Linked DNA regions of Stegostoma tigrinum. The protein of the gene in region 1 purifies or fractionates together with the protein of each later gene. This does not show direct contact. Links are inferred from orthologs where the notes say so. Each region holds a gene or a part of one and is shown on either strand. Other genes may lie near its edges.

Region 1 (16,731 bases):
AGTTCAACAGCACAATGAAATTTGTAGCCTTAACAGTGGGAAGTGGGATCTGTGTTAACTAACTTTCTTAGAATTTGGTTTAATTTGCTAGGATAACCAGCACATTAAATGAATAAATATTCTTGTCCATTCTGCTTTCCATTTAAGGAGGTTTCCGACAAGTAGATTAAAATAAGTGTGACAAGGTGTAGAGCTGGATGAACACAGCATGCCAAGCAGCATCAGAGGAGCAGGAAAGCTGAAGTGTCAGACTTAGACCCTTCTTCAGAAATGAATCCAGCTCTACACCTCGTTATCTCAGATTGTCTGGCATCTGCAGTTCCTATTATCTCTTAAAATAAGTGTATATTATTACGAATGAGAAGATGTTCCTTATATCTTGAACAGCAGTCATCTTCTGTAAAACCTGCACAGCTGAGTGATGTCTTTCTATACTTACAACATGTTTAAATACATTTGTAATGCTCAACTGAGAATCATTTAAAATATAGAATAGAGAAGTTCAAAATATTTAAGATCATAAGAAATTGGAACAGGAGGAGGCTGTTCGGCTCATTGGGCCTGCACTGCCATTCAATAAGATCATGGCTGATCCAACATTCCCCTTGTTCACTTTTTTGCATTTTTCCCAGAACTCTTGATTCTGTAACTAATCAAGAATCTGTTCATCTCAGCCTTAAGTATACAAATGAATTGTACCCCACAACTCTCTTTGGCAAGGAGTTCCAAAAACTCACAAGAGAGTTAAATTCCTCCTCACCTCTATCTTAAATTGGCACCCCTATGTTTTGAGACTATGGCCTCTGGTACCACACTGTTCCCAAGAGGGGAAACATTCTCTCAGCATTTACCCTGTCTAACATGTTTCAATGAGATCACCTCTCATTCTTCTTCCAAGTAGAGTCCCAACTTGTTTTGCCTTTGCTTATAAGATAAACCCTTCATACCGGGAATCATTCTAGTGAAATTTTTCTGAACTGCCTCCAATGAAATTATATCTTTCCTCAAATAAGGGTACCAAAACTCGTCTCAGTATTCCAGATACAATCTCACCATCACCTTGTACTGTTGCAGTCAGGCTTCTCTGTTTTGTACCCCAACCTCCTTGAAATAACAGGGCTCCATTAGCCTTCCTGATTACCTGCTGCATCTTTGTCTAGTTTTCTGTATTTTGTGCACAATTACCCCCAAGCTCCTTTGTGTTGCAGCTTTCTTCAGTTGCTTCCAAGTTAAATGATATTAGTTTTTTTTGTTATCCATTCCAAAACAAACAATTCACATTTTTTCACATTATACTCCATTTGCCAACGTTTTGTCCACTTGCTCAACCTGTCAATATCTCTATGTAAATTGTTTTCTTCCCTGTTGCAACGTGCCTTTCCAGCTACTTTTTGTGTCACAATCACTTGTTATATGATGTGATATACCTTTAAGGTGATGTACCCTCAACGTCAGTTGATCATTATCGATGTTGACAGGATAATATGTGTTATGGAGAAGACTGATTCAACAGTGTTAGAAGTGAGATGGTCTATACTAAGCTCCTAGCTGTCATTATCTGTAAACATACATATCTACAAATAACAGAACTGTATTATTGTTTCATTAATCTTTCTGTTTGACTGCTAGATTTATATCTACACAATTATACAGTGATGCCAGCTGGCAATTTCTAAAGATGTTTTGTTTTTAAGTGCACTATCCCTAACATGTTACTGTATGAATTTGAATTTTTGATTCCGCAGAATAAAAGACTCAACCCCTTCATAACCATTGGAAGAAAATAGACAGGTGCAAAGGGAAACAACTTAAAAAATGTCTCACCAGGCTATAAGAGATTCTGAAGCTCTGCAGATACCATACACACATCACATATAATCCCTGTACTGAATCATGGAATCCCTGCAGTGCTGAAAGAGGCCATTTGACTCAATAAGTTTGCACTGACCTGCTAAAGGGCATCACACCCAGAGCCAGCTCCCTATCCTATCCCACTTTTACCATGGCCAATCCAGCTAACTTGTACATCTTTGGGCTGTGGGAGGAAGCCAGAGCACCCAGAGCACACAGACACAGGGAGAACAGGCAAACTCCATGCAGTCACCCAAGGCTGGAATCTGAACCCAGTTCATGGTGCTGTAAGGCAGCACTGTTAACCACTGAGCCACCAAAAGACTGCCTAAATTTGGGGAAGATTAAGTCGTCAGCTGTGAGTCTCAAGCAGGAACAGACTGAAATAGCAGATTGTGGAAGGACACTTCATTTTAAGTAAAGCTTGCTGACAGGAGAATTGATCTTAAATACTGCAAACTGAGCAAGGAAGAAGACCCTATCGGTTAACATTTCCGAACATGTAATGGAAGGTAATAAAAAAAAACCCTTTTTAGACTGATTCACAACTCTTTGAATCAGGCAACCCAATTTTAATATCAAAAAATTGTGGGTGAATTCAGTAAAGCCAAAGGAGCTCAACAGTGCCACCATGGTAGTCAAGTAATTGCCTATGACCAGCCAAGGCAGTGGCCGCTAAAGGCTCTGCAATTCAGGGCTCCTTAAGCCTAGAAAAGCTGGAAGAAATTTGAATGTCTGATGAAAGTTCCTGCAACCTGTACAAGGCAAGAAAATGACTACAAAGTCTCCATTACCCACTTGAAAGCAATGGATCTCCCGTCAGATTATGGGATAGGCAGATTCAATTGAGGCATTCAAAAGGGCAGTGGCTGATTATTTCAATATAAATAGTGTGCAAGGTTATGCAGAAAAGGCAGGTGACTGACACAAAGTTAACCTGCTCAGAGAGGGCTGCAGACACACCATGCCAATCAGCCTCCTTCTGCATTCATAACACTTGTGTGATTCTGAGTTTACTTTGTTGTGACAGAGTGGTGAACTATAGCTTTTGGATCTCAGAATTTCTTTACCAGTTAGACAAGACATTAAATTTAAAATTGCTGTAGGCAATGAAGTCCTCCACTGACTAAACGCATCAGGTCTGAATGATGACCATGTTAAGAATCCAGAAAACATCAGGTTACCACTCTGAGTACAAAAATTAGTGAAGCTCAGCTTTTGAATACACCATCTTTTAGGCAACAAGTACAAAGAGCTCTGAATAAGTAAGCAAATGTAGATTGCAACTTAATCCCATCAAAGTTAGCTGATAGTGTAACCAAGCTTCCAGTAGTATCTACATCAGGGAAAATGTCCTAAAAAGAAATCTTGGACAAACACAAATGTTATATGTGGGAAAAATAATGATAAAGTGGATACAAATATGAAGCCACAACAATGAGTAGTCGGCATCTCCAGGCTATGCATAATTCATCCAGTACTGGCACTGTAGTCAGTGAAGGAACATTTCTAAGTAATGAAAATGCTCAGCTTTGAACACTGTACGCAAGGCATGCAGCACCAGAGGACATTACAGCTTAAAGGCAAAGGCAGAACAAGTGGTTCAATGTCCTAAGCTATATCCAAAAGCCAGATAGGTACAGACCTCTCAGCAACCAAGCACACATCAATCAGCATAAAGGCAAGCTCCACCAAATGTCTCACTAAGCTGTTAGTCAGATTACGAGGATGACCAACATATAAATAAATTAAGTGAGCAACCGTTTAGTTTGATTTACATCAAAGAATGTATTAGCACAGTGGTACCAACAGAAGCTTTTGTTCCCATCCAAATGAGATGGTCAAAAATGAATGGTTGGCATAAACTACAGACAAAATGAGAGGCTGGTTGAGCTACAAACAACCTTCAACTTCGTACAATGAAATGTATATACCCACAGTAGTCGCAAGTGGCGATTTAGGCAATCAGCACCAAATTCGTGCATACAATGATTTGAAGGTTCCAGATCCAAGATCCATTACACTTAAGCCTTGGTTCAAAACCTCATCCTGATCAACCGGGTATTTTCTCCTGCAGATACTATAGCATGCTAGGTTATTACCATTTGTATTATCATCATGGCAACGATGAGGATCAAGACACTGGTAAGGCCACATTTGGAATACAGCATACAATTCTGGTCACCTTGCAATAGGAAGGATGTTGTTAAACTGGAAAGGGTACAGAAAGGACTTACAAGGATGTTACCAGGATAGGCTGGATTTATTTCCTTGGAGCAGGGAGGCTAAGAGGTGACCTTATAGAGGATTATCAAATCATGAGGGGCACAGAAAAGGTGAACAGCAAAGGTCTTTTTCGAAGGGTAGGGGAGTCCAAAATTAGAGGCCATTCGTTTAAGGTGAGCGGGGAGAGATTTAAAAAGGACCTGAGGGGCAACCTTTTCACAGAGAGGGTGGTTCGTGTATGGAATGAGCTGCCAGAGGGAATGGTATTAGTGGGTACAGTGATAACATTTAAAAAACAGGTGGGCATTTGGACAGGTACATGAACAGGAAAGGTTTGCAGAAAAATGAGCCAATTGCAGGCCAATGGGACTAGTTCAGTTTTAGAATACCTGGTCAGCCGGAACAGGTTGGGCCAAAGATTCTGTTTCCATGCTGTATGGCTCTATGATTCTACAGTCGACATTATTTAGGAGAAGGTGTCCTAATTCTGCAACACAGGTCATCAGCCAACATGCTACACAACGCTGTTTGGACCAGCATTTCTTGCCCATACTTAATTGCCCTTGAGAAGGTAGTAATCAACCAAAACATATACTCCTTGCTTTTGTTTGTTCCTTACAAATATATTGGCAAGGTGTCGAATATATTAAACATTGATCTGGGATGTAACTGGAAAGGAAACCGATTGTGCATTAAAACTAATTTTCTTGTAGTTGTTCGCAATATGAAGAATACAGTGAAATTGAAAGTGACCTAAAAAGTAAATAAGAAAACACCAAAGGCTTTGAGGTTATCTACTGTAGCCCAGATGCATAATTATGTTGACAATGGACTTGAAAATAAAATAAATATTTATAAATACATATAGTGTTAATATTGAAGTGAACAAGATGATTTCACAACGGTAGACAAAACAATATGAAATCATTCATCTCGTTGAGCAACTAATAAATTAGAACTAATGATGAACTCAAAAACTTTTCAGCTGTTCCACTTTTAGGCGATGGAATCACATTCTGAGAAATTTTAAACAGTTTTGTCCTGGAAAAATAATGACCCATGTGATCCAATTAATGCATCGTACTTTATTTTGATCGTTGCAGATGGAAATAAGCAACCAAGGCTCAAAGATCTCAAATTTTGAAACAATATGTGATAAAATGTGCCTCTGAAAGAGGTTAATGTGTAGTTTCATGTGCAGAGCGTTGTTTTATATTACCAGATAACCATGGTGTGGAAAACCAATGTCTGTTTCAGGAAATAGGGATGATCTGACATTTACAACAAGATTGCCGTTATAATTAAAAATGTTATTAACCATGTGAAATTTATTTTCAACTGACATAAGCCAACTAGGAATTTGTGATAAATATGTTTTCATTTTTTTCATTTATTCATGGAATGTGGGTGTTGCTGGCTTGCCTGCATTTAATGCCCATCCCTAGATGCCCTTGAGAAGATGGTAGTAAGCTGTCTTCTTGAGCCATTGAAGTCCACACACTGTAGGTTGAACCACAATGATTTTTAAGGAGTATTTCCAGCATTTTGATCGAGTGACAGTAAAGGAATGGTGATATGCTTCCAAGTCAGGATGGTGGAATGGAGGGGAAGTTGCAGGTGACGGTGTTCCCAATGTATTTGCTGCCCTTGGCCTTCTAGATGGAGGCCGTCATGGGTTTGGAGAGTGCTGTGTAAGAATCTTTGGTGCATTTCTACCGTGCCTCATGTAGATAGTACACATTGCTGCTGAGTGCTGGGGTGGAGGGAGAGGATGTTTGTCGATGTGGTACCAATCAAGTGGGCTGCTTTATTTGAGATGATTGTCACACTCTTGAATGTTGTTAGAGTTGCATCCATCCAGGCCAGCGGGGAGTATTCCATCATACTGCTGACTTGTGTCTTGTAGATGGTGGACAGGCTTTGGGGGATTGGAAGATGAGTTACTTGTCACAGTATTCCTAGCCTCTGACCTGCTGTTGTAGCCATTGTGTTTATGTGGCAAGTCCAGTTGAGTTTCTGGTTAATGGTAACCTCCAGGATGTTGATAGTGAGGAACTCAGTGACTGTAGCACCATTGAACGTCGACGGCTGGTGATTACATTGTCTCTTTTGCTTCTACTCATTCATGGATGAGGGCATCACTGGCTGGGTCAGCATTTATTGCCCACCACTTAAGGCCCAGAGGACAGTGAAGAGACAACTACATTGCTGTATCTCTGCGGTCAGATGTAGGCCAGAATTGGTAAGTATGGCAGAATTCCTTCATTAAAGGACATGAGTGATGGGTTTTCCCCAACATTTAGACAATCCATCTCTTTGGAAGGGTCATTGCTTGGCATTTGTATGACGTGACTGTTACTTGCCACTTGTCAGCCCACGTCTGGATATTGACCAGACTTTGTTGCATTTGAACATGGACTGCTTCAGTATCTGAGGAGTCACCAATGGTCCTGAACATTGTGCAATCATTGGCAAACATCCCCACTTCTGACCTTATGATGGAGGCATTGTCATTGGTGGAGCAGCTGAAGATGGTTGGGCCAAGGGCATTACCCTGAGGAAGTCCTGGAGCTGAAATTATTGACCTTCAACAACCACAACCATCTTTCTGTGTGCCAGGTATGACTCCAACCAGTGGAGAATTTGCCCCCTGATATCCATTGAGTCCAGTTTTGCTAGGGCACCTTGATGCTGCACCTAGTCAAGAGCAGTCTTGAGGTCAAGGGCTGTCAGTCACATCTCACCTCTGGAATCCACTCTTTTGTCCATGTTTGAACCAAGGTGGTTTTGTGGTCAGGAGCTGAGTGGCCCTGGTGGAACCCAAACTGTGCATCACAAGCAAATTATTGCAGAGCAGGTTATTGCTTAATAGCACTGTTGAACATAGAACATAGAACAGTACAGCACAGAACAGGCCCTTCAGCCCACGATGTTGTGCTGACCATTGATCCTCATGTATGCACCCTCAAATTTCTGTGACCGTATGCATGTCCAGCAGTCTCTTAAATGACCCCAATGACCTTGCTTCCACAACTGCTGCTGGCAACACATTCCATGCTCTCACAACTCTCTGCGTAAAGAACCCGCCTCTGACATCCCCTCTATACTTTCCTCCAACCAGCTTAAAACTATGACCCCTCGTGTTAGCCTTTTCTGCCCTGGGAAGTAGTCTCTGGCTATCAACTCTATCTATGCCTCTCATTATCTTGTATACCTCAATTAGGTCCCCTCTCCTCCTCTTTTTCTCCAATGAAAAAAGTCCGAGCTCAGTCAACCTCTCTTCATAAGATAAGCCCTCCAGTCCAGGCAGCATCCTGGTAAACCTCCTCTGAACCCTCTCCAAAGCATCCACATCTTTCCTAAAATAGGGCGACCAGAACTGGACGCAGTATTCCAAGTGCGGTCTAACCAAAGTTTTATAGAGCTGCAACAAGATCTCACGACTCTTAAACTCAATCCCCCTGTTAATGAAAGCCAAAACACCATATGCTTTCTTAACAACCCTGTCCACTTGGGTGGCCATTTTAAGGGATCTATGTATCTGCACACCAAGATCCCTCTGTTCCTCCACGCTGCCAAGAATCCTATCCTTAATCCTGTACTCAGCTTTCAAATTCGACCTTCCAAAATGCATCACCTCGCATTTATCCAGGTTGAACTCCATCTGCCACCTCTCGGCCCATCTCTGCATCCTGTCAATGTCCCACTGCAGCCTACAACAGCCCTCTACACTGTCAACGACACCTCCAACCTTTGTGTCGTCTGCAAACTTGCTGATCCATCCTTCAATCCCCTCATCCAAGTCATTAATAAAAATTACAAACAGTAGAGGCCCAAGGACAGAGCCCTGTGGAACACCACTCACCACTGACTTCCAGGCAGAATATTTTCCTTCTACACCACTCGCTGTCTTCTGTTGGCCAGCCAATTCTGTATCCAGACAGCTAAGTTCCCCTGTATCCCATTCCTGCTGACCTTCTGAATGAGCCTACCATGGGGAACCTTGAGGATGCCATCCACTTTTGTTGAACAGAATGCATTGAAATGTTTTGTGAAAAGATCAGTATATGTGATCATGACATAAATACACATTTCACCTACAGTTCCTTGTTAAGGCAATGGTGTAGTTCTCCAAAATAGAGGGAGTGGGAGGATACAACTGTGCAATAAGGAAAAATCATAGAAAATATGAGTTAAGATCTCAGAAATTTTTGTGGGCGGAAGTTATTTTTGTTTCAACTTTTCTGTTTCTATTGATTTGTCAGTGACAAATACGCTTAATTTCCCCATACCCAGTGCAGCTCCAGTGTGTAACTGTGGATCCAATGCACAGCAGCGGCCCCAAATTCCCAGCTCATCCATGCTTAACTGCAGCCCAGCTCCGAGCTGCTGCTCTAATTCTCAGATGTTAAAAAGATTAATTCATGGGATATTGGCTTTGCTGGCTGGGCCAGCGTTTATTGGTTACCTGTGTTTTCCCTTGAGAAGTTGGTGGTGACCTGCCTCTTGAATTGTTGCAGTCCATTTGGCGTAAGTGCTTTTTCAGAGGAAGTTTCAGTATTTAGATCAAGCCACACTGAAAGGATGGTTATATTCTTCCAAGTCAGGACGGTGAGTGGAGGGAAAATGCGGGTACTGGTATTCCCATTTATCGGTTGCTCTTATCCTTCTAGTTGGTAGTATTTATGGATTCGGAAGGTGCTGTCTAAGTGGCTTTGATGAATTTGTGCATTGCATCTTCTAGTCTGTATACATGACTGCTTCTGAGCACTGACAGTGGCAGGAATGAATGTTTTTGGAAAAAGTGCCAATCAAGTGGGTTGCTTTGTCTTGGATGGTGTCAAGCTTCTTAGTCGTGTTGGGGCAGCACTTATCCAAGCAAGTGGACAGTATTCTACCATATCCTTGACTTGTAGATGGTGTACAGGCTTTAGGGAATCAGGAAGTGGGTTCCTTGCCACAGTATTCCTTGCTTCTGACCTGCTTTCGTCACCACAATATTTATGTGCAGAGTCCAGTTGAGTTTCTGCTCAGTGGTAACCCCAAAGATTTTGATGGCAAGGAATTCAGTGAAAGTAATGTCATTGAAAGTCAAAGGGTAATGGTTAGATTCTCTCTTGTGGGATATGGTCATTGCCTCGTTCTTAGATCCACAGTCTTGTTACATCCTGTAATGAATGAAGGAGGCTTCACAAATATCCCCATCCTTAATGACTGGGAACCCAACACATCCGCACAAATGATAAGGCAGTAACCTTTGTCCAGAAGTGCTGAATGAATGATCCAGCTTGGCCTCTCCAGAAGTCTCCAGCATGGCAGATGCCAGCCTTCAGCCAGCTCATGTAAAAACTCAGTCATTAAAGATGGGGATATTTGTGAAGCCTCCGCTAAGACTTAGCTCTGATCTGTTGGTTGTGGGATTGCTGAGCTCTGTCTACCACTTGCTGCTTGGCACTTGCTGTAGACTTGTTTTGTAGCTTCACTATGTTGACACCTCATTTTTAGTCAGGCTTGGTGCTGCTCTTGGAATGTCTTTCTGCATTTTCCACTGAACCAGGGTTCATTCCCTGACTTCATGGTGATGGTAGAACAGTGAAATATGTCAGGCAATAAGGTTGCAGATTGTGTTGGAGGACAATTCTGGTGCTGCTGGTACACTATGCCACATAGATGCCCAATATTAAATTGCTAAATCTGTTCTTAGCCCGGTGACTGTATCACATAACACAATGCAGTGTATTCTTAATGTAACGACATTGCTTCTATCTTCACAAAGATGGTCATGGGCATGTCAGCTGCAGCTCAGCATGAAGGAGCTTAGCGTAGTGCTGCAGCTAGGCATGGGAACAATGCTGGGTTTTGGGGAGCTTGGAAAAGGGCTGCTGCTGCGTTACGAAGAAAGGTACATAGGATGTAGTTAGGCATTAGGCCAGACATCATCCTTGTCCAGCCGTATGCTCAGCTCCCCGATGCCCAGCTGTGGTCACAAACCCGAAGCTCAATTTCCTCATGCTGGCTGGAACTCTACATCCAACTCTTGTCATGCCCAGCTGCAGGCACAAGCCCCGCTCTCTTGTGCTGGACTGTTGCCCCATGTCTAGCTCCTCCATACCCGGCTACAACCTCATACCCAGCTGCAGCTGCCATGCTCAGCTCTCTCATGCCTAGCTGCACCCCCATGCCCAGCTGCAGCTGACATGCTCAGCTCTCTCATGAATAGCTGCACCCCCATGCCCAGCTGCAATGCCCAGCTCTCTCATGCCTAGCTGCACCCCCATGCCCAGCTCTCTCATGCCTAGCTGCACCCCATGCCCAGCTCTCTCATGCCTAGCTGAACCCCATGCCAAGCTGCAATGCTCAGCTCTCTCATGCCTAGCTGCACCCCATGCCCAGCTCTCTCATGAATAGCTGCACCCCCATGCCCAGCTGCAATGCTCAGCTCTCTCATGCCTAGCTGCACCCCATGCCCAGCTCTCTCATGCCTAGCTGAACCCCATGCCTAGCTGCACCGCTCAGGTCTCTCATGCCTAGCTGCACCGCTCAGGTCTCTCATGCCGAACTGCACCCCCATGCCTTGCTGCAATGTTCAGCTCTCTCATGCCCAACTGCACCCGCATGTCCAGGTGCAGCCCCGTGCACAGCAGCAGGGTCTTCGCGCGCCAGGTCTGCCTGTTACCCATGATGCTTCGGGGACGTCCCCATTGCGCAGCTGCGGCAGCAGCAGCGGCAAAAAATATCATAATAATCTTGGCGGATGGCCGGCGTTAAGAAATTGCGCGTTTAGGCCGCAGAGAAGCAGGCGGTGAGTCACTCTTTCTGACGGGTATTGATTAGGGAGGTTCAGTACCGTGCGGGGATAGCCTCGGGCCCGCAGCGGCCTGTGGGAGTTGGCTGGGTAGGTCGGGGCCTGCCGAGCGGGCGGCCTGACCACCAGCGCCATGTTTGCTGTTGTCGCTTCGCATAGAAGAACGGGACGGACGGCGAGATTCAAGGCGAGGCCTCTGGGCGGGCCGACCACTTATTAATTAGCACTTCATTCGCCTTATTGTGCCATCTGTCACGTCGTGATCCCCTCCCCGAGACTTTTTTTTTCCCCCGATCACAGGCAGTTCGGATGGATTTTTCGTTGTTGTGGCGAAGATTATTTATCAGAAGCTGCCCGCTGCCAGCAGAAAATAAAAGGGCAAAGAAAGAGCTCGGGGATGGGTGATTCGAGATCTGTCCCCCGCTCTTTACAGGCGCCTGTAGCGTTCCAGGCGACCAGCAGCTGTTTCCTAACATCGGTAGCTCTTTAAAAAGATACACGCACACGCTTTACTCAACAGCTTACCACAACCTAATGCAACTTACATGATACAAAAGAAGCAACACACGTGCGTTTATTCCTTTTTTGACAGTTACGTCGTGTTCTTTCACGTAGTGTATTTCCAAAATTTGAAGGCTAAGACTTTAGAATAAAAAAAAGTGGCAGATGGTCACTTCCACTGCATACAATTTCTCCTTAAAATGTCAAATGTTCACTTACATTGCATGAAACTTTATTTGATTACTGATTTGAATATTGTTGCCTTTATTTTGTAACTTTTTTTATAAAAATGTTGACCCCTGAACCAAGGTTTCAGTCTGTACACTTCACTCAAACAACTCTCTGAATTTACTGTAGTACCTCGGTTTGAGGCATTTTCATGCTTTTCTTTCTGTAAGTTGCATGCGTTTTGGAGGATTAAAATCACTCGCATTTGCTTTCGTATTACATTATTTAAACTGGCATTAACCCTAAAAAGATTTCTGAAGAAGGGTCTAGGCCCAAAACGTTAGCTTCCCTCGTCCTCTGATGCTGCTTGGCCTGCTGTATTCATCCAGTTCATCTCATATTAATCCTTAAAAGTTTTTTTTATTGCTTAAAGTTAAAAAAATTGCTAAAAGCAGGTAGCACTTTTTTTTACAAAAGGTATGTAGTGCTCCTGTATTTATGCTGAAATAAGTGCTAAGCGTTTGAGTTAGTTCTTAAGATATTTATTTTAGGACTAGGACTATAATTTCATTCATAATTTGTTCTGAACAATGTGTAGATTTATAATTTTCCAAAAGTACTATAGTTGAGAGGAGGTTACAGGTTGTGATAATCCAGTACCCGAATTGTTGACAACACGGGTTCAGGAAAATCTTCGCACTGAATCAAGAGCTGAATTTATGGTGCGATGTCAGATATTGTTTATAGTCAGTCAATTCCTTTTGATCTTACAGAAGATATAAGTTTTTGTTCTTTGGACAATAGTGTGACGAGACACTACAAAATGTACCCATATTTTGGGATAATTTTATTGAAAATTGGCCACAGTATTGATTTTTTTTTGAAGAGCATGATTACAGATGCAGTGTTTGACTGAGGTGCTTTTCAGACTTTCATTTTAAAATTCCTTCTGGGAGTTGAATGTTGCTGGAAAACTCGGTGCTTTCTTGCCATTCCTATGAAGTCACGAATGTCATTTGTGAAGCACTTCATGGTTTTCTAAGATTTTGACCCGGTGAAGTGACCGAAAATTGAAGGTGACATCTAAAGTTTTTAACAAGGTTTTGTAGCTTGGCTTGTAGTTCAGTGGTAGACTTGTGCGTCAAGCTGGTATGTTTGATTGCAGATGTTTCGTCACCTTGCTAGGCTACATTGTCAGTGCACCTCTGGTGACATCATTCCAAATCAGGATGGTGTGTGACTTGTCAGCAGTGGTGTTCTTGTGTTGAGTTGCCCCTGTTGTTGTAAATTGTGGAGACTGAGAGTTTCACAACTGTTGTTGGAGGAACTTCGGTGAGTTGTTGCTTTTTATGAATGATGTGCACTGCTGCCAATGTATGGTGGTGTTTTGAGGGATTGCATGTTTAAAGTGGCATATGTGCTGATGAAGCAGGCTTTAAAGTTTGTTGAGAAGATTTGAGCCGAACACCGTGGCTCGGTGAGCAAGTCTGCAACCTGATGAAGCAGACTGCTTTGTCCTTGTTGGTGTTGAGCTTCTTGAGTATTGTGTTAGAAAGACAAATCTATATTTAAACATTCTGAAGGAAGCTGGAAGGTATAAAATCATTTGGACCCCTTTTTTGGCTTGAATTAAATATGTTTTTTTGGGCAATTATGTTCAGCAGTATGAGGCCTAAGACCTACCTGCAAATTATGGAAGTGAAATTTTTAATGTGTGCTACAAACCACTTGCAGTTTTTCTGGAAATCAAATGGTTTTCAAGAAGCAACCAAGGTAAGGTAGGAAATTAAGAAATGAATATGGTATCGTTGGGGGAACGAAACTGGCTTTGAGGACTCGGGGACCTATACTAATAGATGCCTAACAATGTTCTGTGGTTTGAAAATTCTGATTCACAGTCCTAGCAGTCAGTGATTTGTGAAGACACCCCAGAAGTCCTGCTTTGAGAAGTCTTTGCTGATAAATGCATAGAGTTTCTAAATACTAGTATTTCTGTCTCTGTAATGAAGCCTGAGGTAGTAGACTGTAATCCCATTCTCAACAGCTCTAATCCCAGTTGATTGGAACAGACCTGGGCATTTATCAATTGACAGCTGTGTTCAAAGGAAATTCAGTGGACGTAACAAGTTATTGTATTTTATCCTTTGTTACCAGACTTTGGTCTAAGGGAGTTGTTGTTTCCCTCTTTCATCTCTGTAGACACCTACCTGTCTTTTTGTGTTGTGTGAATGTGTCTACATGTATGGCATTAAGGGGATATAGTTTTAATACCAGCTGAAAGTTTAAATGTTGGTCAGTACTTGCCACTTGCTTTATTCATTCATACTAATTGGCTGTTTTCATGATTCATTCAAGAACTAGGTAACAGTGCAGAAGTGGGGAATTGGCCATTTTGGCAAGTAATTTAACATACACACCATTAGTGTTAGTGTTTGAGTATTGCTCCTATTACAGTCATTAATGCTGAAATGGCACTCATTGAGACAATTGAGAACAACATAAGAACATGCCTGCTCTGCCTTTGAAAAGAACATGGCTGATCTTTTCGCAGACTCAGCTCCACTTGCCTGCCTGCTCACCATAACCCTTAATTCCTTTACTTTTCAAAGACATCCAAGAGAGAGTTTATCTCTTTGCTGCCTTATGGATGTTTGTTAGGCTTTGGGGAGTCAAAAAATGAGTTTCTGTCTGCAGAATTCCCAGCTTCTGATGACTCCTGTGTTTATAAAGCATGAATCATGATTAGCTGAATCAAAAATGTACTTGTATTGCAGATGAGTGGTAAAATTTGAAGCAGAAGTAGAGATGAATGACTCCTCCTTTTAAGCAACTTGTTCAGAGATGTTGTGACACACATCTGGAGCAGATGGGACTTCAAACTGGGCCTCCTGCTGTGCCGCAAGGACTGGGATAAATGACAAGAAACGAAAAAGAATCAATATCACCTATCTAAGATATTTCCACCAACCAGGATATGAATGAACTCACTTGTGTAAGCAGCTGATCTGCCAAAATTAGATGGCAGTTCTGTTTTTTAGGAAGAAAAATCGAATTTACTTTAAAATCCTCAATACAGCCTGACAGAAGGCTGACAATTAATCTGGCCCTGGTTGAATAGACAAATTTCTGTTCTTATTGTTATTAGTCAGAGTCATACAGCACAGGAATAGGCTCTTCAGTCCAACTTGTGCATGCTGACCACGTCTCAAACTAAATTAGTGCCATTTGCATGTATTTGGTCTATATCCTTCAAAACCTTTCCTATTCATGTACCCGTACAAATGTCTTCTAAATGTAACTGTACCTGCATCTACCATTCCTCTGGCAGATCATTTCACATTCAAACCACCCTCTGTGTGAAAAGGTTGCCCCTCAGATCCCTTGTAAATCTTTCTCCTTTTACCTTAAACCTATGCCTTCTAGTTTTGAACTCTTCTTTCCCCCACCATAGGGGGGAAAAAGACATTGGTATTCATCTTATCTATAACCCTCATGATTTAATAAATCTCATGTTCCAGTGGAAAAAGTCCCGTCCTATTGGGTCTCTTTTAACTCAAACTTACCTGTTCTGGTAACATCCTCGTGAATCTTTTCTTCACCCTCTCCGATTTAATATCCTTCCCCCAGCCGGGCAACCAAAATTGTACACAATACTTCTAATTTGGCTTCGTGAGATCTTGTGTAACTGCAACATGACGTCTCAGCTCTTATAGTCAATGATCTGAATAATGAAGGCAAATGTGCCAAACACCTGTTTCTTTACCACCCTGTCTACCTGTGACACAAATTCAAGGAACTCTCCCTGAACCCCTAGGCCTCTGTTTGAGAACATTCCCAGTGCTCTACAATTAACTGTGCAAGTCCTGCCCTTGTTCGTCTCACCAAAATGTAACGTGTTACATTTATTTAAATTAAACTCCATCTGCCACTCCTTGGTCTGTTAGCCCAATTGATCAAGACCCCTCTGTAATCTTAATTTTGGTGTGATTTGCAAACTTAGTAACCGTGCTTCCTAATTTCTCATGCGTATTGTTTATATGAAAGGCAAACAGTGGTGGACCCTGCACCAATCCCTATGAAACACTGCTGATCACAGGCTACCTGTCAGAAAAACAGCCCTCCACCACCACTTTTGCTGTCCTCCTGTCAAGTCAGTTTTGTTTCCAATTGGCAAATTCTCCCTGAATCCCATGTGATCTAACTTTACTAACCAGTCTACCATGCGGAACCTCATCAAAGGCCTTACTAAAGTTCATGTCAACAATATCTACCACTCTGCCTCATCTCACTTTAAAACTCAGACAAGTTTGTGAGACTTGATTTCCCACACACATGCAATGCTGACGGTCCGTAATCAGTCCTTGTCTCTCCAAATGCAAGTAAGTTCTCTCCAATAACTCACCCACCATTGACGTCAGACTCACTGGCCTAGTTTCCTAGGTTTTTCCCTTGCAGCCTTTCTTAAATAACAGCACAACATTCGCCACACTTCAGTCTTCTAGCATCTCACCCATGGCTGTAGATGATAAAAATATCTTGTCCAACATCCCACAATGTCCTGGGATACACTTGAGTAAGTCCTGGAGATTATCTCCCTTCATGCCTTTTAAGGTCTCCAGCACGTTTTTGTAATGTGGATTGTTTTCATGACATCAGTATTTATTTCCCCAAGTTCTCTAGCTTCCATGTTTTTTCCATGGTAAATAGACAAGTAATTCTAAGTCCTTTTGTGTTGTAGCTTTCTGCAATTTTTCTCTATTCAAATCCTATTCTGTTCTTTTGATCTTCCATCCAAAACATAGTAGTTCATATTTTCCCACACTATTTGCTAAGTTTTTGCCCACTTGCTAAACTGATCAGTATCTCTCTGTAAACTGTTTGTGTCCTTCCCATTGCCTATTTCAGCTATTTTTGTGTCATGTGTAAATTTGGCTGTAGTGTTGGTGGTCAAAATAGAACATTAACTGTGGTGAAAATCTCATGTTTGTGTTCAGAATTGCTCAGTGATTCATTTCAAATTAGGAAAGGCTGTTGAACTGCCTTTAAAGCTATTGTCTTCTATTGAGAAACCTAGAAATTTCAGCTTTTTCCCAAATGATTTACATATTCTGTCTTCAATTCAAATTTAAATCAATTTAAATAATTGGTGAAATTTACAAATCTTAGAATTGTCAAAATGA
Region 2 (15,677 bases), on another chromosome or scaffold:
TAGTGAACCAGACGGGTTTAAGTGTGAGAACTGAGAAAGGTTACATTGTCAACAGTCTACCTTTTTTAATTCTAAATTTTCTATTGAGTTCAGATGCAACCACAGTGGGATTCAAACCAATATCCCTGGAACATTACAGACTCCAGTATATTATTCTAATAATATTACCTCTGCAATCCACTTCTTCCCTCTTATAAATACCAATTTTTATTACGCTGCTATTAGTTTGTCTTCAGCTGTCTGGATCTTTAAAGGAATTTCTTCTTCAAACCTCAGATTCTGCCATTCTATCCTCCTCTAAAGGTGCTTCCTAAAACTTACTTTTTAGATCAAGTTTCGGTCATATATCCTAATGTCTACTTAACTGATTTGTTTTGTGTGTTTAACAAAAAATGCTCCCATAACGCAGTATCTTGCTGCATTATGAATTATACAGGTACAAGTGATTGTACACATGTAATAGTATGGGGGAGGTGGGATATAAAGAGTTAAAAGATCATGGACAGGGATGTGACAGAGGTTGACAATCGTGCAATTTAAAACAAAAATGATCACCCTCTTTAAAACCCCAATTTCCAAACAAAGGACAAAGTAAAGTTGCAATCCTTCTGTTGAGCAGAATTCCAACATCAGCCAGAGCCGTGGTAATGACTGAACTGAATGTGTACAACAGCCTTGTTTGCATATTGACCAGAGAACTGTTGACATCAAATCGGCAGGGCTTAAACAAAATGTGACGCTGCGTTTAAAAGTAAACTATATTTTCAACCTATCATTGGAACCAGTCAACATCCCAACCCTCAGTTGATTCTTCTTGTCTAGCAAATTCCGTTTCTTCTCCCTATCCATCAGTTTCTCAGCTGTTATGAAGGGCAATCTCATTCACTTTGGAATAAAAAGTTCATAAAACCTACTTATGTTTCAAAGGGAAGAGGGTTGGAGTCAAATATTTAATTTACAAATAAAGAAATTGTGGAGTTTTTTGGCTGCATGAAGTGAAACCATAAGCTCCAGGCAAAATAGAAAGGACAGGGGAATTCCCTTGTACAACACTGGAGACACAGTACTTTAAATGACTAATCTTCGTATGAGTGTTTGTGCAACTATTTCTGCTGTCACTATTTTGCTGGAGATTCCCTCCTATTTTTAGGATCAAGAGGTTTTCGTTATGGAAGTCCCACACAATAGTGAAGGACAGTGTCGATACTCACTCCATTACTAGGCTGGGTTTACTATAAAATTCCAAGTTATTTGCATTCCGGAGTTAATACTGTATTCTACTTATGTAGCAATTTGCTGCAAGGTGGATCAGTCCAAGGCTTGAATTGGCTTGTGACAAAATGAGCAGACTTTTGTATTGTACACTCCATAAACCAGATGCCTGGCATTATACAAAGGACAGATAGCTGTGGGTTCTGAAAAAGGCAGATCTTTATTAGCGGAAAATCACCTATGAAAAGAATAATAAAATTGGATATCTTCTTGGGTAAGTCAGTGAAACTGGCTGGTAGGTGATAGGGAGTTTGAGCACAGTAATGGAAGCACTGAGCTCCACATTTCACGTACCGAAACCACTGGAGACAGGGAAAAAAAACCCTGTCAACTGTGGTTAGCTTGGATGTAAGTACTCTAAGGGCTTCAAATCAGAACTGTGATTATTGCAAAGCAAAGTCTCAGTATTTTAGATTAGATTCCCTACAGTGTGGAAACAGGCCCTTCGCCCAACAAGTCCACACTGCCCCTTGAAGAATCCCACCCAGACCTATCCCCCTATAACCCACTCACCCCTGAACATTATGGGAAATTTAGCATGGCCAATCCACCTAGCCTGCACATCTTTGGACTATGGGAGGAAACCGGAGCACCCGGAGGAAACCCACGCAGACATGGGGAGAATGCGCAAACTCCACACACACAGTCGCCCAAGGCTAGAATTGAACCCGGGTCCCTGGCGCTGTGAGGCAGCAGTGCTAACCACTAAGCCACCATGCAGACTGATCTAGAAAACAGTTGTCCAAATCCAGAGTTTATGTTGTACTCTGCTCCTTTGAGAAGGATAGTGAATGTGATGCTGAGAAAACCTGAGGAAAAAGAAGCAATTGCAACATGTGGGCTTCATCAACAACCAAATGATGCTCTTTGTTGGACAGTGTCGGGTGGTTGCAAAGGGATCTCAACTGTTTGCTGAAAAATCGACTAACAAAATCGGTACTTGTGGCCCTATCCTATCCCTCCCAACAAGGAGGAAAGCTGCAAGCAACACAGAAATCAGATTGCACCTACATCCCACATTCTCTTGAAGCAGCATCTGGATCATAAATCTATGTAGTGAACAGTTGTAGGAAGGAAGAAAATGATGCTCATATGGACAGATGCAATTACAGGATGCCATTCAACCAGTCTGTTTTCATCAGTCTTCTACAAATCACTTACCCACAAACTCAATCCATCAATACCACCCACACCACTTGTTCTCAAGTACCTAAAGCCTGTTAACACAGTGTTCCAAATTATCACCATCCTGTGACTTTAATTATTTATTCATTCAATCGGGCGTGACATCGCTGGCTAAGCAAACATTTATTGGCCACCTCAATGGTGATGAGCCCCCTCCTCGAACCAGTGTAGCACATGTGATACAGGGATGAGTTCCAGCATTTTGACCTAGTGAAAGCATCCCTGATAGCCTGGTGATGCCAGGCTGTCCATCTGGTTTCATCCCTTTTGCAGGGGGGATTGTAATGGATTGATACAGCCGAATGGCTTGCTAAGCCATTGCAGAGTCACCCACATTGTTGTGAGCCAGAATCACAGAGGTCAGACTGGATAAGGATAGCAGATTTCCAACCTTCCAGAAAGTTGATGAATCAGGTGGGTTTTTACACTGCCCCACACAATTACACTCTGTTTTGTTTCACCACCAGAGGAAGATTTCTCCATATTGGAACCTTTTAACATTTAAACACCTGATCAGATCAATCTTCTAACTCAAGGGAATACAGACTGAATGTATTTAACACCACCTCATCATTAAATTAATGCACCACCTCTGCGTTCAGTATATTGTTTCCTGAGGTGCAGTGTCAGAAATGAACAACGACACTAAACAGAGCCTTTGTCAGATACTACATAACTGGAACATCATTTGAGCAAAAGGCCAACATTCTATTAGTTGCTTTGACTGTTTTCCATGCCTGTCTAATGATTTCCAAATCTTTGATCCTCTGCTGTTCATAGTTTCTGAACATATAGAAAATTCAACTTTTTTCTACTTCTTTAGCTGTTCCTGAAGGAGGTTCAATTTCTTGAAAATGGTTGGTAAAATTCATCAAGTTTCTGTTGCTTATAAAGAAATTATATGGCACATTTTGCTGTTTCAAAATTGCTTTAATAACTATCAGAAAAAAAATTACATTTAAAAAGTACTGCAGGAATTTTTTGTTCAGAACTATTCATAAAAAGACTTTGCAACAGACTGCCTCAAAAAACATAACTCCACTGGCCTTATGCCTCTTGGCAACCTTCCATGTTCACTGTGTTCTAGCTCCATGACGCTGTGTGGAGACGGACTGCACCTGGCCTGCTGTCTGCTCCCTTTAGCTTTCAGATATCTTAACTTATTATGCATTTCCTGTGTGTTTTTTTCATCCTCACTTAACATGATGTGGTTTGATGACCAGTGTTGTACTAAATAAAAGATCGCTTATTAATTTAAATCTTAGCCTATGTTTGTGTTTGCAAGACCGCAGGAATCACTCCATGCATAAAATTGTTTCAGATATCATGTGCCAACTCCACCTCACTGAAAGAAGGCAAGGTCATCATTGGTTCAAATACCTACTAATTAGAAGGTTGTGGGTTAAAGTCCCACACAAGAGACTGAGCCTATAATCCATGCTGCCACTTCAGTGCATTACTGTGACACTTCTGCGATATGGAGAATATTTCACATTTGTAAAATGAAGCCATGGTCTGCCCTCCCAGGCAGGCACAAAGGATCCTGTGGTGCCATATCAAAGAAGAGCAAAAGCATTTTTCTCAGTGGCCTGCCCACGATTTCTCACTCAGTCGGTATCACTAAAATAAAGTTGCTGGTCATCAGCACGTTACTGCTTAAGGGATCTTACTTCACACAGATTTGGCTATGATGTTTCCTACAATATGGCATAACTACACTTCAGAGCAGTATAATCTCATTAGTAATGTTGTATTTTGGGGCATCCTGCAGTCAGGAAGGGTGATATACAAACAAAAACATTTATTTCAATTGTATCAAACTGCTTATTAGAGAGTAGGGATGTGGAATTAAGTACAGCTTTGTCAGTGAGCACCCCATGTCCCAAGAATGGTTTAACAAACGAACAATGAGATATTCCCATTCTCCAGGCTCCATTCATGAACAGCGATGAGAGCATAATCAATTCTTATTGCTCCTCCCCTTACACACCCAGGACAATCACCCAATCTCAAATGTTTATTCCCAAACTAATGGATTGACAGAAAGTTAGATCTTATGAACGGCGAACGTGTAAGCTGAAGATTTCAGAAGAGTCAGGGAACTGATTAAGTATGAGGAATGGCGCAGCAACCACAAATTTATAGACAGTGCTTTTCACAAACACAGGACTTCCAAAAGTCCCACTGCAGACAATTAAATACCTTTTATGTAATCTCTGTTGCAATACAAGAAGTATATTTATGTAGAATATTTTAATAATTTTCATTGAAATGGCCATACGTCACATAAGTCAAAACCATAAAATAAGATCAACACCAACTAATCATGAAGAATTATACTGAACACTGAAAATAAAACCATCCAGAAGGGCTAAGCTTTTTTAAATAAATACATTTTATATATAGTACATATTATATATGTGTATTACACACACATATATATACACACACTGAAATGATTCCTCTGAAGCTGACTTTCATAAGAGGACTTTGAAAATTATGTCCATCATCAATGCAGGGGTTTCAGTATCATCTTGCATAAGAAATTAATTCCCTCCTAATTCTAGACAGCAACAAGCTTCATGTTCTATATTTTACATTGTAAACCCCTTCCCCTAAACAAGTTCTTCATTATGAAATGTGAATATTTACAGTCCCAGTATGTGTAGCCAACAGTCTGGATTACCTAATCACCTATTTAGAACATTTTTGGAAAACTAGTCTAAAACATGTAGTTTTGCTTGATGTAGACCTTTATCAAAGAGGAATTGGTTAAAAAGCCATATTGATGCAAACAGGGAGATGATGATTAGGGCCGTGAGGAGCTGCAGTCAGTTGAGATTGCATGTCCGAGTACAAATGTTTGCAACCCACATGGCAACACATTGGGTGTCTTGCCATGTCAGACCTGCGGTCAAGCTTACAAGCAGGCTTGCTGGCAGCAAGTTACAATCCACAGCCCAGTTTTAACTGTTCACAGCTTGCTGCTGCTGGGCTACAGGAGCAGGGAGGCAGCTTGGAGGTCAAAGTGCCTATTCACAAAATGAAACCTATGAAATTTAATCCTGTATCACAAGTAAGAAAAATTCTTGTAAGCAACGGTGGGACTTTAAGGCAAAATTATTCGAGTCACAGTTGACTGGAACCAAATGACACTGCCATTCCCCAACAAAAAAAACTGTCAGGATGTAACCTGGCTAGGCCCATATGACTAGATTCCTTTCATCACAAACTAGTGGTTTTAATAAACCTTTGCTTCCAACACCATTATAACTTGTCTGACAGGTCCATATTCAAAAACGTTCATTTACACTATTGACCAATATTTGCACTAAACTGTACACTAATTCTTGACAGCATTATGTACTGATTGTGAACTCATGAGACACTAAATCTGTTACTGGAATATGAACCAGGTGTTAACACAACCTTAGAAACAAGCTCAGAAACCAGATCTCCTGGCTGGAATTAGAATTAAAACAGCAGCAATGGAAAAGCAGCTTCTCTAAGCCCTGCTGCTCTGCAGAGATTGCTCATTAAGAATCAGCTCACATTCTCCTCGCCTCCTCTTCTGTCAAAGGATTTTTTAAGAAGATATATAGATTTAGTATTTCTGGGTGTCATTTTATTTTAAGGCAATTTTTATTGCAGAGTACCAATTAGTGCAACAGACTCAGAGTCAGTACCGACCAAAATAGTGGTTTCAATGAGATCCTATGCTGCATCACAGCCAGTTTCACAGTACTATTATTGCCTGGCAAATTTCACTGTATCCTGGCAACAACTTCATGAGTATACCTCTTAAACAAGATGAAGTACAGTAACGGGTGCATAACCTCATTCAGATCAACAACTGGTTATTCTGAAAAATTGTCACCGGAGGCTTTGATTAAAGTGTCAGTTTTGTCTCAGTGGCAGCATTTTCACCTTGGCGTTAGAAGATAGTGGATTCTAATTCCCCCACATCCAGGCTGACCTGTCTTGTACTATCCAAAATATCTAACATCTGATAAGACCTTAAGTGCCATCTGCCTTCTTAGATGAATGCAAAATATCCACAGCAACTCTGAAAAACAGCAGAGTTCTCCCTGGTGTCTCCATCTCTTACCCTTCAACAAATATCACTAAAAATATGTTCTGAAGGAGTCATACCAAGCTTCAAATATTAATTGATTATATCTCTACAGATGCTGCCAGTCTTGAGTTTCTTCAACATTTTGTTTGAAATTATTAAAGACCTGACCACTTCCACATTATTGTTTGAGAGGTTTCTGTGTCTAAACTGGTTGCTACACTTCCCACATCATTAAGCAGTGACTATATTTCAAAACTACTTCTTGGTTGAAAAGAGCTGCATGATGATCTGAGTTTGTGAAAGGCATGGTATAATTTGGCACCAGTTGAAGAGAACCATCTGCTAAACCTCTGCCAAAGATCTGGCTGACAAGATAGCGCCAAGGAAGAAACTCTCTTCCTTCTCCTGCACTGTGTGGGTCAAAACGTGCACAAAATAAAACACGATTCACAGCAGAGCAAATTATTGAATGAATGCTGCTGTCCAGTTGTTAAAGGAAGTCACCACAACAAATAGCAACGTGACATGATCAGTTAATCTCTCCGCAATAAATAAACTCCTTCATCGACTAGAATCATTCATTGTTTCTCTCTCAGTGGATAATGCTAGATCTGTTAAGCACTTCCAGCATTTTGAGATTCTTACAGGTTTAACATCTGAAGTATGTTTCTCTCAGATTAACAATTATCCATTTAGATAACCCTCATTTGGCTCCTGCGTTGTTAGTAAGGGGGGGCGGGAATAACGGTCAGGACACGGTGTCCTGATCTTCTGAACGAGTGGACGCGGGATCTTTAACATCCCACAGCATCACTCCATTTAGCGTCCCACCGAAATGATGGCACGTCTGGCAGTGCAGCACCCCCTCAGTACAGCACCACACAGCGTTGGCCTAGATTGTGCGCTCAAGTCTCTGCGGTGGGGCTTGAACCCACCATCTTCTGACTTTAGAGGCCAAATGCCACCCACCGAAACCCAACTGACGCCTTCAAATTGGGCGGGGAATGAAGGAGGATTCAGTGAAGTGGGAAAAAATATTTTCAAATTAATGCAACGAGTCGCCGTTAAGCTGCAGGTGGTGTTTGCAACTTTAAAAAGGGAACGTTTAAAATGCAAACCCGTACCTTTTATAAAAAGGAGCGGCCGACGGTAATACTAGTATTTTAAACCGTCTTCAAATCCCACGATTACTATAATCTAAGAAAACAAATCTTGCAAAAATACACAAGCTGTTTTGGTAAAAATGTAAAAGAAACACACACAAACAAAAGGCTTCTTCACAACCCGCCACGGTGACCGAGCGCCGCCAGTGCGCAGGCGCGGGAAATTCCAACATGGCGCCCAGTGGTGGGGGTTGCTGGGAGTTGTAGTCCACGCCGGCCCTGCTTCCCGCCTTCATGGGGGCCTTCAAAACCCGCTACTCCGGGGCTAAAGAAGGGAGGGCGTCGGCCACATTCCCGTCGCATATCCTCCCCGCTCCTGCCTGGGGAGAGGGTAGCCTCCCCGCTTCGAAAGGAGCAGATTTTCGTCTTCTTTTCAGTGGCTCGGAGCGCCCGCCCATGCGCAGTGAGGCGCCGCCACCGCCGGACTACAAACCGCGCGCGGCACAAATGTACCCGGGACAGGGACCAAACATTGGATTTCGGTGAAAAAATGTGCTTCGTTTTCCCCCCAAAAGTGCAAGTTCTTCGTAGAAACACGACTGTGAACGTGCATTTAAAATCCTCTGCATAAAGTAAATACAATTCTCAGCGTTAAAACATTCCTCTATGATCCCGCATGGCGCACGCGCACTAATCAAAGCAAGTTCATGTTTTTTTAAAATGACACCCTTTTTCTCGCAAATGAAAAGAAATTGACGCGGCATTTCAAAAAAAAATAAAATCAAGTCCTTGGCGACGAGGATAACTTCGATTGAGGAAAGGAGATGCTTTTGAATGGTCAGGCCGCGGCCTAGGCCCAGGGATCGGCACAAAAAACCCCGAGACACAATAAAGCCCGAGGCCGCCCTCCCCTCACATACCACCTCCCCCCCCAACTTAAACACCATACAAACAACAACCCTTCACCTTCACCACCCCTGCGCCGCTGACCAAAAATTACAAAGGGCGAACGGACAAGAAGCAGCGGGATACCGACCCCCTTTCTTCGGTTTTGTTTTAAAGATTTTTTAAAAAAAATAAATAAAAGAGTGGAAATGCTTTACCCATGTTGCCGCTAAAGATGGTGGCGTGCCGGGGAGTCGGAACCAATCTGCGGGATGGGGCGAGTAGCCGGAGCTCGGGAGGAGGCGGACCCGGGGCTTGTGGGTGGGCGGCGGTTTGTGGGGTTGGCGGGGAGTGGGGGGAAAAGATGCTGCTGCACTCGGTCACAACCGTCCTGAGGTAAATCCACGGCGATTAAACGGGGCCTGTTGGTTTTTCAACGAAAAGAAACCTACGGCTGATTATTAACTGCTGCGCCTTGGCCCCGGCTTCAAGTGATTGTGTTACTGCTACCTATTTATTTTGACCTGATAAACTCAGGGGGAGGTTCGGCCAGAGGTGGTGACTGCAGACTGTTAGGATCACAGAAATCACCAGAAGCAATCATTTTAAACCATGGACTATTCCAGTGCTATCCTGGCTACCTCGTCTTCCACTCAGAGGTGCTGTCGTGATGCGGTGGAAGTGCGCCTATCCCGAAATTAGGAGCCCTAGGTTCAAATCCCTCCTGTTCCAGAGGTTAACACCTCTGACCAGGTTGATTATAATATGTGATAATGGGAACTGCAGATGCTGGAGAATCCGAGATAACAAGGTGTGGAACTGGATGAACGCAGCAGGCCAAGCAGCATCTCAGGAGCAGGAATGCTCACGTTTCGGGCCTAGACCCTTCATCAGAGATTATAATATGTCTTCTACTCCATCAAAATTCAAGCTCAACCATAACCCTGCTGCTCGGACCTCGCTCGGCTACATTGTTGCCTGGTCCTGCAACACTTCGATTTTGAAATTCTTATTTCTAAATCTTCCAGTGACCTTTCCCCTTGTCAATTTCTCTCACTTCCCCCAGGTCTGAGATGTCTTAGGCACCTCAAATTCTTTCCTTTTGAGTACCCCTGATTTTCATCACTCTACAGTTGGAACCTATGTTTTCAGCTGTAACCACCACTTCTGAAATTTCCTCTTTAAACCTGTCCACCTCTGTTGCCTCCTTTAACATCCTTCTGAAAAGCTATATGTTTGGCTGAGCTTTTAGTCACTTGTGTCAGTATTTCCTTTTGGAGTTTGGTGTCACATTGTGCCTGATTGATGCTCTTGTGAAGTAGCTTGGATTGTTTTACCATGTTAAATCTGTTAAAGTTGCAACTTTTGTTAGCTTCCCCATTTTAAAGTTGCATCAACATTAAGTAATTATGAAACATGCTGGTCTGGTCAGCTCAAGGGCATGGGCCTTGATACTGAAATGAAATGTGAATGTTACTATCTGGGCAAATATTTATTACATAACCCAACTGCTCTTGAGATGGCGATGCTGAGCTGCTTTCTTGAATTGCTGAAGTTGATCTGGCCTTTTTAAAACCAACTTGGAAGAAGGCACTAAGTTAGGCCAGTATCATCAAACAAAAGACACTCTTGTTCTTGGCTACTTCAATTTTCTGCCCAAAGGCAAGTTTCATTCACAAAACTCTGATCTCCACCATGGCTCCAAAAGGGTCCTGAACTCAGCTCAGTCAGAAGAGGGTTTGAATCAAATGCTGTTGGTAGAGATCTGACCCGTATCGACTGCTTGGTCAGCTGAAGCAAACAACCAAACAATCTGAGTCAACTTTGTAATGGCAGTGGTGGGTGAGATCTTCTGAAATGATGATTGCTAGTGTTTTCTGGTGTAAATCCATGTCACTGTTGTTGGCCAAATGTAGGTCTTATTTTCAGCAAGGGGATCACTAAGGATGTAAATGAAAGGCCAGTGTCTATTTCTTATGTTCTTATTTTTACCAAGCTGAATGCTAGTTTTGGATTCAGTGTGTATGATGCTGATTGTCACGAGTTTGAGACTGATTGTCAATTATTAAGACAGCCAATAGAGAAAATCTGATTTGAACAGAAGTCCCAGGGTTAAAGATAGTATTCTAATTTCAATAATTCATTTCTCATAGCTAGAACCACAGAATTGTACAGCACAGAAACAGACCATCCGGTCCAACTGGTCCATGTCGACCAGATATCTTGTATAAATCTAGTCCCATTTGGCCCATATCCATCTAAATCCTTCCTCTTCATATACACATCCAGATGCCTTTTAAATGTTGTAATTGTACCAGTTCCACCACTTCCTCTAGCAGCTCATTCCACACACGCACTATCCTCTGTGTGAAAAAAGTTGCCCGTTAGGTTCCTTTTAAATCCTTTCCCTCTCACCTTAAACCTGTGTCCTCTCGTTTTGGTCTTCCCTGGGGAAAAGACCTGGCCTACTTACTCAAACCATGCCCCTCATGATTTTATAAACCTGCATAAGGCCACCCCCTCAGCCTCTGACACTTCAGGGAAAATAGCCCCAGCCTGTTCAGCCTCCCCCGATAACTCAAACACTCCAACCCTGACATCCTTGTAAATCTTTTCTGAACCCTTTCAAGTTTCACAACAGCTTTCCTATAGCAAGGAGACCAGATTTGCATGCAATTTTTCAATAGTGGCCTAATCAATGTTGTGTACAGGCACAACATGACCTCCCAACTCCTCTACTCAATTCATTGACCAATAAAAGCAAGCGTACCAAATGCAGCCTTCACTGTCCAATCTAACTGCGACTCCACTTTCAACGAACTACAGACCTGCGTGCCAAGGTCTCTTTGTTCATCAACACGCCCCAGGACCTAACTACTAAGTGTATAAGTCTTGCCCTAATTTGCCTTTACAAAATGTGGCACCTCACATTTATTTAAATTAAACTCCTCGGCCCACTGGTCATCTGATCGAGGTTCCGTGTACTCTGAGGTAATCTTCTTGGCCATCCATTCCACCTCCAATTTGGTGTCATCTGCAAACTTACTGATCATACCTCCTGTGTTCACATCCAAATCATTTATATAAAATGACAAAAAGCAGTGGACCCAGCACCGATTCTTGTGGCCTCCAGTCTGAAAAGTAACTGTCCATTGCCACCCTCCCATCTTATGAAATAATTCACATTTTGGTGCAATGCAGCGCCTTAGACTCCAGTCATATTCAGTTTCCCTTTGAAGTGCTAATACCCTCGCGTGATTATGACAGTAGCTGTTTGATTACGCTGAGACGGGGATTGAGGTGGGGCAAGGCACATCACAAATGAACTCTTCTCCGTACGTGCCCCATCTAACATTCATACAAACATATGAATCTGGAGGAGAAGTAGGCCATTCAACTCTTCAAGTTTGCTCTGCCATTCGGTAAAATCATAGCTGATCAATTTATGTTCCAAATTCCTTGTAGAATCATAGAGTTATACACCATGGAAGCAGACCCTTCAATCCAATTCATCTGCACTGATCAGATATCCTAAACTGATCTAGTCCCATTTGCCAGCATTTGGCTCATATCCCTGTCAACCCTTTCTGTTCATGTGCTGAACTAGATTTGTTTTAAGCATGATTGTAACAGCCTCCACCACCACCTCTGGCAGCTCATTCCATCCATACACACACCCACCTCTGTGTGAAAAAGTTGCATCTTAGGTCCTTTTTAATTCTTTCACCCCTGTCATCTGCCCCCAATAACTTTGATTCCCCTGCGTAATAAGAACCTATCACCTCCACTTTAAAAATTTTCAACTATTCTGCTTCCCCCCGCTCCTGGAGCTGAATTCCACTTTATGTTCCATTGGTCAACTTTCTGTCCACTCACCTAATCTATGGTATCGACCTCCATCCTTGATATATCATCTTCACAAATAAAATCTACTTTTCTTTGTGTTACCTGCAAACTTAGCCACTGTGCCTTGAATCCCTTCATCTGTGTCAGTGATATAAATTGTAAAATGTGATCTGCCCAGCACAGACCTCCGTGGGTCCCTACTTGTGACGTGCTGCCAAACTGAAACAGATCTATTTATGCATACTCTTCATTTTTTGCCAGTTAGCCAACTATCTATCCGTGCAAATATGTTACTCCCTACACCATGAATTCCTATTTTCCATGATATCATTTTACGTGGAACCTTGTTAAATGCCTTCTGGAAATCAATGTACAATATATCAATGTACACCTCTTTATCCACAGGTCATATGACATCAAAGAACCCCAATAAGTAGATTATATACAATTTCCTTTTCACAAAGCCATGCTAACTCTTTCAGGTCATCTTGGATTTTTCCCAGTGCCCAGTTATAATGTCTTTAATGATCAATTCTAAAATTTTTCCACAACACAAGTCAAATAACTGGCCCAAAGTATCTTGTTTATGCCTCCCTCCCTTCTTAGAGTCATACAGTACAGAAACAGACCCTTTGGTCTGACCATGTTCCCAAAGCGAGCTAGTCCCACTGCCAACCCTTGGCCGATATCCCTCCAAACCTTTCCTACTCATGAGCTTATCCAAATAAGGGAACCGCGTCTCCCGCATTTCCCGCAACACAACCCTCACACCCCGCCCCCGTTCTCACACACCACCCCACCAACCTCCAGACACAACGCATCATCCTCCGACACTTCCGCCATCTACAATCCGACCCCACCACCCAAGACATTTTTCCATCCCCACCCTTGTCTGCTTTCTGGAGAGACCACTCTCTCCGTGACTCCCTTGTTCGCTCCACACTGCCCTCCAACCCCACCACACCCGGCACCTTTCCCTGCAATCGCAGGAAATGTTACACTTGCCCCCACACCTCCTCCCTCACCCCTATCCCAGGCCCCAAGATGACTTTCCATATTAAGCAGAGGTTCACCTGCACATCTGCCAATGTGGTATACTGTATCCATTGTACCCGGTGTGGCTTCCTCTACATTGGGGAAACCAAGCGGAGGCTTGGGGACCGCTTTGCAGAACACCTCCGCTCGGTTCGCAATAAACAACTGCACCTCCCAGTCGCAAACCATTTCCACTCCCCCTCTCATTCTTTAGATGACATGTCCATCATGGGCCTCCTGCAGTGCCACAATGATGCCACCCAAAGGTTGCAGGAACAGCAACTCATATTCCGCTTGGGAACCCTGCAGCCCAATGGTATCAATGTGGACTTCACCAGCTTCAAAATCTCCCCTTCCCCCACGGCATCCCAAAACCAGCCCAGTTCGTCCCCTCCCCCCACTGCACCACACAACCAACCCAGCTCTTCCCCTCCACCCACTGCATCCCGAAACCAGCCCAGCCTGTCTCTGTCTCCCTAAGCTGTTCTTCCTCTCACCCATCCCTTCCTCCCGCCGCACCTCCATCTCCTACGTACCAACCTCATCCCACCTCCTTGACCTGTCCGTCTTTCCTGGACTGACCTATCCCCTCCCTACCTCCCCACCTATACTGTCCTCTCCATCTATCCTCTTTTCTCTCCATCTTCGGTCCGCTTCCCCCTCGCTCCCTATTTATTCCAGAACCCTCACCTCATCCCCCTCTCTGATGAAGGGTCTAGGCCCGAAATGTCAGCTTTTGTGCTCCTGAGATGCTGCTTGGCCTGCTGTGTTCATCCAGCCTCACATTTTATTATCTTGGATTCTCCAGCATCTGCAGTTCCCATTATCACTTATATTTACTACTCCCCAGTCTAATGGAACCTTCCAGAATTTAATGGAGTTTGGAAAATTAATACCAACACATCTGTTATGTCATTAGTCACCTCCTTGAGGGTGTCTATGTGCATAGTTCCCTGAACGTTGCCACCCAGATAGATAGGGTTGTTAAGAAGTCGTATGGTGTGTTAGGTTTTATTGGTAGAGGGATTGAGTTTCAGAGCCATGAGGCCATGTTGCAGCTGTACAAAACTGTGGTGTGGCCACACTTGGAGTATTGTGTACAGTTCTGGTCGCTGCATTATTGGAAGGACGTGGAAGAATTGGAAAGGGTGCAGAGATTTACCAGGATGTTGCCTGGTCTGGAGGGAAGGTCTTATGAGGAAAGGCTGAGGGACTTGAAGCTGTTTTCGTTAGAGAGAAAAAGGTTAAGAGGTGACCTAATAGAGACACACAGGATGATCAGAGGATTAGATAGTGAGAGCCTTTTTCCTTGTATGGAGATGGCTAGCACGAAGGGACATAGCTTTAAATTGTGGGGTTATAGATATAGGTCAGATGTCAGAGGTAGGTTCCTTACTCAGAGTAGTAAGGGCGTGGAATGCCCTGCCTGCAACAGTAATAGACTCGCCAAGTTTAAGGGCATTTAAATGGTCATTGGATAAACATATGGATGATAATGGAATAGTGCAGGTTAGATGGGCTTCAGATTGGTTTCACAGGTCGTTGCAACATCAAGAGTCGAAGGGCCTGTACTGCGCTGTAGTGTTCCATGTTCTATGTTCAAAGATGCCATCCACCTGGATCTGGAGACTTATCAACCTGCAACTCCACCTGTTTTGGTCAATACAGTCTCCCTAATGATTATGATTTCGTGAAGTTCGTCTCTTCCTCCAACCACCTGATTTATAGTTATTACTGGGATTATTTTTGTATCCTGTTTAGTGAAGACAGAATCAAAATATTTATTCACTACATCAATCATTTCTTTATTATCCACAATTAACTCTCTATTCTTGCCCTATGGAGGACCAACACTCACTTCATTTTTTTTCATGTGCCTTTAGAAACTGCCTGTTTTTATATTTCTGGCTTTCTCTTACGCTTTAGTTTGTCCTGATTAACTGTATCATCATTCTCTGCTGTTCTTTGTATTCTGACTAATCATCTCTTTAACCTGAAATCAGCCATCTCAGACTGCACAGAAAACCGGGGATTTTCTGCCTTACTCTGTCTTTACTGGACACATTTCTGATAAATAGCAAGTTTTTAGTTGGTAAATAGTCCTCTAATCTATGACTGTCTATTCTATACAGTTTAGAGGTTTGCGGAAATAGTTTTCCTGTGGCCTGGTCCCTGTGAGGAAGGAGTTAATCTTCCAGCACTATCAGTGTTTCTGCACCTGAAGCTATCAGGTGATGCCGACGGTTGAAAAAAACAGGCTCAAGCGTGCAGATGCA

The links.
Region 2: the proteins of zinc finger protein 280D (region 1) and cbx1b purify together in Homo sapiens (affinity purification with mass spectrometry; 4 studies listed by BioGRID and IntAct, with this or other methods). This does not show direct contact. The link is inferred for Stegostoma tigrinum from reciprocal best matches to the Homo sapiens genes ZNF280D and CBX1.

The regions. Positions count from the first base shown.
Region 1 is NC_081386.1:16,245,227-16,261,957, reverse strand, and holds the start of zinc finger protein 280D, read left to right. Parts: upstream 1-10,764; 5' UTR 10,765-10,879; intron 10,880-16,731. UniProt on the Homo sapiens protein: May function as a transcription factor.
Region 2 is NC_081384.1:3,305,132-3,320,808, forward strand, and holds the start of cbx1b (chromobox protein homolog 1b), read right to left. Parts: upstream 8,866-15,677; 5' UTR 8,743-8,865; coding exon 8,739-8,742; intron 7,816-8,738; exon of another isoform or gene 7,793-7,815; intron 7,787-7,792; exon of another isoform or gene 7,657-7,786; intron 1-7,656. UniProt on the Homo sapiens protein: Component of heterochromatin. Recognizes and binds histone H3 tails methylated at 'Lys-9', leading to epigenetic repression. Interaction with lamin B receptor (LBR) can contribute to the association of the heterochromatin with the inner nuclear membrane.